Linked DNA regions of Drosophila melanogaster. Changing the gene in region 1 together with any one later gene gives a genetic interaction. Each region holds a gene or a part of one and is shown on either strand. Other genes may lie near its edges. The genes, in order: Klf15 and SPARC.

What was found.
Region 2: of Klf15 (region 1) and SPARC, changing one suppresses a phenotype caused by changing the other (phenotypic suppression), as found in Drosophila melanogaster (one study listed by BioGRID).

The regions. Positions count from the first base shown.
Region 1 is NC_004354.4:4,769,995-4,773,845, forward strand, and holds Klf15 (Kruppel-like factor 15), read right to left. Parts: upstream 1,595-3,851; 5' UTR 1,524-1,594; coding exon 588-1,523; 3' UTR 563-587; downstream 1-562. Other genes in the region: CG15472 (uncharacterized protein), read right to left, coding at 1-80.
Region 2 is NT_033777.3:26,869,721-26,873,653, forward strand, and holds the start of SPARC (secreted protein, acidic, cysteine-rich), read right to left. Parts: upstream 2,276-3,933; 5' UTR 2,206-2,275; intron 848-2,205; exon of another isoform or gene 790-847; intron 653-789; 5' UTR 635-652; coding exon 473-634; intron 411-472; coding exon 1-410.

The DNA.
Region 1 (3,851 bases):
TGGTTCAGTGTAAGTTTCGTTTGTTTTTCGGGCTCGGTACTGGAGAGGCCAATTAGTCTGAGTGGCTTATTTCGGTCCATATTTCTCGAATTGTGTTGAATGTTTTAAGTATATAAATATAATGTACGCTAATAAATTTTTTGAAGCTATGCAAACGGCCTACTGTTGTTGAAACATCACTGCTTAGTTGGATATAATTGCTCTGCCGCGTAAAATTAGCCTTTTTCATTATATTAATAAATTCGATTTAACTTTTGTAATGAATTAACTTCATGCGTGTAACCCTTTTTCTTTTTATTAAATCATATGCTCCTTTACTCTGCTAAATGAGTTTATCAATGGTTTATGATTTCCGTATTTAAATCAGCAAACACATTTCATTTATGTAAAACAGAGCAGCAAGTAATTATTACCATCAATATTCCCATTCGAAATAAAACTCTTGATAATTTTCCTAACAAAAGAAGGAATACTTCAGCTCTATTTTATGGATATGTTTCCCATGCGAACTAATCTTAAGTGATAAAAAAAAAAAAAATAGTACAAAACGTTAAAACTAACTCATCCATCGTGTCCTTGGAATGTGGTCATAACTGATTCTTTCGCTTTCGACCTGGTCGCACGGCATACAGATCGTCGGAGATCAGGGATCTGCCAGCTCTGGAGGCGGCCAGAAGACGTCTTTCGTGCACCTTACGATGCTTGGTGAGGTGATCCGACCTGGCGAAGCACTTGGAACAGTAGTCACATTTGTACGGCTTCACGCCGGAATGGGAGCGCTTGTGGCGGGCCAGTTCATCGGATCGGGAGAACCGCCAGACGCAATCTGGCCAACTGCAGACGTAGGGCTTCTCGCCTAGATGCCGCCTCAAATGGGCCTTCAGATGCGCGGGCTTGGCGTAGATCTTTTCGCAATTGCCAAAGGTGCACAGGTAACCCCGTTCGCCGGCGGCATTTTCACTCATCTGGAGGGCAGAAGGTGGGGCAACAGCTTCAGCTGGACTGGCGGAATCACTGCTGCCGGGCGAGGAAGACGATCGATCGGGAACGAAAATCTCTGAATGTGGTGGCCCCGACAGCCGCAGATTGCTGTTGCTCTCCTCCAGAAAGTCCGCACAGTTATCCGTGCACAGGGGAGTTCGTTCCGGCAGAAAGTCCACCAGGTCCGGAATCTCTACGTAGTTATCCAGCAGTCGCTGCTCCCAATCACTTAAGTCCGGCGGACATACGGTCAGGTCATTGAAGTCGATGAACAATGAAGGATCCTCCACGTGGGGCAGACCCACCTGGATATTCCCATTAGTATTTGTATTATTATTACTGTCCAATGTGATGATGCCATAATAATCCGACTCCTCGAATTCCAGCTGATTATAGTTGCCACCGGAAAAGCTAGTATCCACATAGGTGCTATCGAATTCCCCAACACTGACTATATTTAGCAGCGCATCGCCGCCGGCCAGTGGCTCCTCTTCCAAGTCGCTGTAAAGCTGCTGGAATCCACCCGTCGCAAAGAAGTCCATGATCGCAAATGAGCGGACTCCAGTCGAGTGTCCAAATATTTATAATATCCACGGACAATCCGGATGAGTGACAGGCGTCGGAAAAGTTGATGAGAGCCATTGAATCTGGTTGGGAATCGCAGGGCATATACCCTAAGTACTTAAAATCATATTGATATGTCATGAAAAGAATGTTTACTTAAATTGTTTCTTTTACAAGTACAATAGTATAGCATACCCTGCGATCTGCCTAGAACAATGGGTATCAAGAGATGCACTCATTGCGATCGTGGCTCGATTGCTTCCAGTGATTGGTGGCCAGGATCCCTTGGGGAATAATTAGCCGGCGAGCAACGTATCTAACGCGCTGCCGGCTTCATTAGTCCGAGACTGAGATAAAGATACATCCATACGTACGTACATATCCATTCGCACCAGATGTTGCGCGCATTGATCGGCGACACATGTGCCCGGGTTTTTGGTGGCCGGGTCCGGGAATCCGCAATGCTATCGAAATCGCTGACGGATGCCGAGTGCCAAGCAGTGTCAGGCCACAGATCGGCTAGCTATATTGCTATATATGTATAGCCGCGCGGCACCTGATCTCCCGCTTTCAGTGCGCCATCTCGCTCTTTTGTTTTTGTTTTGCTCGCCGGACAATCAATACAAATTTGTTATTAATTAATGATTATTACTAGCGAACTAGATATGCCCGGGGGATGGATATGGATATTCCCGGTCGATCATCAGTGTTTCGGTTCCAAGCAAAACAAGTGCGTTTCCTATGTGTGTCAAGTGGAGCCGCAGATATGGTTTTAAATTCACGGAAAGTTATCTGTTTGAAAATATTTTTCTGTTCGAAAATCATTTGGCTTGGCAACGGTCCATTTGCAGCATATGGTCAGTTGGAAAAGGTTGATAGCTAGTCATTTTTTTTTTTTTTTGACAACTCATTTCGTTCATATTTAATACAGACAGTGGTGTGCAATTTACAATTCACTTAAAGTGCATTGTAATGCGCAAGAATGCAGCATTAAAATGTGACCCTGCACGAGCTGTAATATAGTATTCCACCCATTTGCCTTCAACTAGACCCACCCGCCCCCTCGAACGTCTCATTTTCCGAGGCTGTCTGTGCCAGTTTCCAGTTTCCCTTAGCTTTTGCTCCTCGTCTATGCCATTTCCGCATCCTTTTTGGCTGGCAGCCCTTCGGAAATTAACATAAATTTAACGTGCGGCTGGCGTTTAAATTTACTTTCGCCTAATGAAATAATCAGCAGCTGTAAATCCTCATGGGCTGGTATGCCCCCCAACCCACCAATCACGACCAGTTTCACCAGTTTTTGGCGGCCTACGCGTTTTACGCTAATTGATATTGCAAAAATCAAAGGCTGCGCGCCGGCATTAAAGGGATTTAAAGGATATCAACTGGTCTGCGGGTCTGGGACTCGGGACTTGGGATTCTGTATTCCGGATACCGGATTCTGTATTCTCAATTGTGGAGTCTGGCTGTGAGTTCGACTCTGGCACTTTGTAATTACAGCAGGGTATTGCGACTCTGATTTCTGTATATGTGCATAGAATTTCCCTTTGTGTGGCCTCAGTGGAGTGGCAAGGATAACATAAATTAGAATGCTGCCTGCAGGCAGTTCTGGTATTTAGCCGTAGTGCCTGGTCGTCCACTTACTTACAGATTCGTAGGCCAATACAAACATGCACCGGTGGAAACAGGTAGCAGGACATAAAAAGATATATAACTTCGATTGTAAATAAGGTTCGCCTTTGAAACCATTTTGCAGCATATTAATTAAATTCCGAAATATTTGAAATCAAGTGGTTTTTAGATGAGGTTAGTCCGCCCAGCAATTGCAAAAAGGAATTTTCCTGCAGTGTTTTGGGAATGTGTAACCACATCTATCTATCCATCTATCTGCAAATAAATTTCTCCGTTCAAATGTGTGCGTGTGTGTCTGTGTGTGTGCGCACCGCAAGTGTCATAACGGAAATTATGCATACAATTTTACTGTAAATTGCACTCGGCAAAATGTTGTCACCTCAGTTTAATCATAGCACCCAGAACTCGAAACTCCCACTCATTTAAGCCGGACATTTTGAAGCCGTTTGCAAGTATTTACGAAGCAAATCCGAGGACTTAAAGCCGACAACCGGACGATATTATTGCCAAAGTGTCCTCGTTGTCCTGGCAGCAGTCAAATGAGCTAAGCAGTTGTCAGGATATACAAAGTAAGTACATCCATATAGAAGGGGCATACAGATGAAGAAGGGTCACTGCGTCGGTTGCCTAGTAAGTCCGACTTGCCCTTATCAATCGCAGCTGAGCTGCTTGTT
Region 2 (3,933 bases), on another chromosome or scaffold:
ATCACGTTGAACAGCCAGTCGCGCATGCGCCTGGGGAAGTCCTTCAGGTCCTCGCCCTCGCAGCTCCTGGGCTCGTGGCAAGCGCCGTAGTAGTCGATGTGCATGTGCGCGTTGTCCGGATTGGTGCAGCCGGGCTCGCCGCTGTCGCACCAGCAGCGCTGCTGATACACAGAGCAGTCCGACGGCCAGGTCTCGTTGGTATTGGTGCAGACCAGGCGGCGAGTGTCCACCTCCTCCGGGCACTCCGGAATGCACACGCATTTGGGCTTCTCGTCGTGCATCTGGCAGATGCGACCGGCTCCGCAGCTCATCGTTTCGCACAGATCCACCTCGACAACGGGATTGAGTAGATTGTGCTGCACTTCGGCCAGCTTGGTGGCAATCTCATTCTCGCGCTCAATATCCTTGATCTGCGAATGGAATTCAGTTAGTGCATTAAGTGTGATTTGTGGTTTGACTTGCGGCCACATGCCTTGTTCTTCTCCTCCAGCAGGCGCAGGAACTCCTCTTCGTTCTCATCGATGTCGGACAGGTCGAGGTCCTCATCCAGCAGATCTTCGGAAAACTCCGTAGAGGCCTGGACGTGGCTCACAGCCAGCAGGCCCAAGCCGAGCAGCAGCCAAAGGGAGCGCATCTCGAATGGCGATCTCAACTACAGGGATTGCAAGTAAAGCATCTTTAAAACACCTTTTTCTTCTCTTTATATTTAAACTATATATTTGGAACTAAAAGTGCCTTTATAAATAGAGTACATTATCAAGTCATTGCGATTGTGAAAACCCAAATTACATTGAGATTAGCTGTGGCCCTGGCCCAACTTCCGTTTCAAGGATTGGTTTGCGACTGTACCGTGTGCGCTGCGTCGTTACTGTACTCCACTGGCGATCTTGTAACCACCAAACAACGGGGTGGTTTTACATGCACATCTCGTGCGGCGTCTTTTTGCTCATTGAAAACAATTGAAGAAGCCGCAAAAATCTTGCAGGGTTCAAAAGGTCAACGCGAATGTGGCGCGCAGATACAGATGCATTTCCTTTTATGGGCAATTTTATTTATGGATCTTTAGATCTTGTGGAACAACAAAGCCAACTCATTGATGGCGGAAGATGACTACTGCAGATCTGGAGTTTTTAAAATAGAAACAAAGTCGGGGGAATGGATAAAATCTCAGAATTTTCAATGTTTGCTTTTCATTTCCTGCTGCCTGCTGCAAATAAGCATTTTTCTCGCTTTTTGCAACCGCAAATTTGAAATATGTTTGAATATTTCAGAATTTGGGGCATGTTGAACACATGTTGAGCAGTTCAAATCGTTTATGAAATCATCTATATATGCAGATGCTCCCATTAATGCGAATATACCTGATTAAAGCTGACCTTAATCCTATTGCTAAACACACACACAGGCTAAACTCAAGCCGAATTTTCGTAATCATTTCAAGATGTCGCCCCAGTTCTATGCTCAATCTTAGTACATGTGCTATATGGCATATATGGCACATCATTGGTTGCCCAACGACACAGTTGGCTTATCAGGTTCCAGCCCGACTTGGCCCCACCGCCGCTTATCAGGATCGGTCGGTCGCTTCCGTTTTGGGTAGCACAAGCAAGATGTGCTTAATCGTCGCTTTTGTGCCGCTGAACATCAAGTCAAATGCGCAGCTATGTATCTGGCAATTGAGAAATGTATACGCGATCTCGCGGAATGGAGCTTCCAGGAATATCCGAGAGTGGGATGCTGCTGCAGTGCATTCCACATGTTGCACACATATATATCTATGTATACAATGCAATATATACTTCCACATGTGTTTGTTTAATTATGCCGACGAAACTAGAAACAATGACGTGATGCAGTGTCCAAGATGCAATGTTTATGCATCGCGAATGAAAGTGGACCAAAAGCAGATACAATCTACTTGAATTGGCGGAAGTGCAATTCACAGTTGACCTTGCAAATCACTGGACTTACTTTTGCTTCTCAGTTCTGACCAATTAACGAACTGATTTCATCGAAAATAAAGTCCAATTGATTGACTATTTGCCAATGAGCAAGGAACATTGAACTTGAGCAACTCGAGCCAGAGCTGAGCTTGCAGAAATTTGAGGAACAAGCAAAGTATCTGTATCTGCATATGTCACACACTTGTTTTGTTAATCCGATTACGACACTCAATCCTTTGTTTCACTCTGCGTGAGTACTCACTGTGCGTTCAATGAAAAAGTGTTTCCCTTCAAATGTCTAATCGCGTTGGCGGATGGCAGGCGACTGTTTGCCTGTGGAAAAGCTTCGGAATGATTACGGATCGCCAAAGTGGAGCATGGAGCACTGCCTGCCCATGGTTTTGGTGTCGCCTCCAACGTGTTGGCTCCCAACATGTTCGCTTGGAATAAAAACACTGATTGCTTCGATTTTGGCAGCTCTTTTTTATTGGTTTCTTGCTTTTCAACACATAAAATAAATCGTGTCCTCTTCTACGTACCTCATAGTTTATGGGAAACTTGAGCCTTGGTCTTTTGAAATAGGCCACTCCAGCGTTGCTCCGGGGGTTTATTTTTTTTTTGGAAAAGAAATAGGTTGTTTGCTTAGAAAAGCGTAATAAAGATTCGATAACAAGATACACATAAGTTAGAAACTTAAGAGCACTTATAAAAACTCTAGTTTATCCTAGATGAGATCCGTTACTAACTTACCTTACGAATTAACTTTGTCTCAAGAGTATTTTGTAGAGTAGAGTATGTTTAAAATTAGAGCGATATTTGTTTGTATCTAGAATGGCATAACGGTAACTAAATATAGTTTATGCTATCGCTAAAGAGAAAGAGACTTACATATCGTCAGCTAAAACAAATACATAGTGTTGTTTTTAATTTGTATTTATTTAAAATAAATATGCGTATGGGTTTTCATAGAGTTCGGTTAAGTGATAAATTGTATCTCGATAATGCAGCATAACGAATCTTGCAAATTGTGGACTAGACCTCTCTTATTTCAGTACTGCATTATATATAAAGATCAATTCAAAGCCCTTGGCGTGCACAACAGCTTAATAATAGGAGAGAGTCGAGAATAAATCGTAAGTCTAGTTAATCCGAAAGCATATACATTTTCTTCGCATTTTTTTCGGGTATATACACTTCTTTGAGTTCGTCATGATATACAAATAAGAAGAGATATATGTAGTATATGAATTAACATCGTGGGCGACGAGATAAGAAACCTTTAACATTAATACAGTATATAAGTGTCCGATTCTTGCTTCTTGTAAAAATTGACATTTGTTTTGATATCATCTCTTGTGTACATTAATAGTTAAGGCCACGCCCGCCAGCCCTGCGTATGATTTGATTTGATTTGGGATCCGACTTCGCTCCGGATTCTTATATTCTTGTTTCTTGTTTCTTGTGTTTTTTTTGTTTGGACGTATCTTCTTATTTGAATGGTTTAGGTAATACATAGGCATCTACGATTAAACTACTTGTTTTGGGCCAATAAGCTCAGGCTACAGCTCCGTGATTTATGTCTAATTAATTGATCTTGATTGGCAATTGTTCTTCCATCCTCCACCATTGCACAATCCTTCTTCTTGTTTTACAGATAGAGAGAGAGGTTTAGATTTAAATAGAGAGCCTGTTGTAATTTCGTATCGTATTTTGGGCATTCTTCTACGATACAGAGTTTCATAATTATGTCTAGAGTAATTCGAACTGGAGAAGTGCTCGCTCCTCGCAATACGTTGTATAAAATAGTTATATATAGTCTGCCATAGCTTAGGTCAATCGTAGGGTAATCAATGGTATAGCTTAAGTGTACAGTAAAATCGTAGTTAGTTGTCCTATGATAGAGAGACAATGCGTTAAGTTTCCTGCTTAGTAACTCTAAGCGAGTGTGGCCTAGCTTATGAACGAGCTTACTAAAGAGTGTCTTGATTCT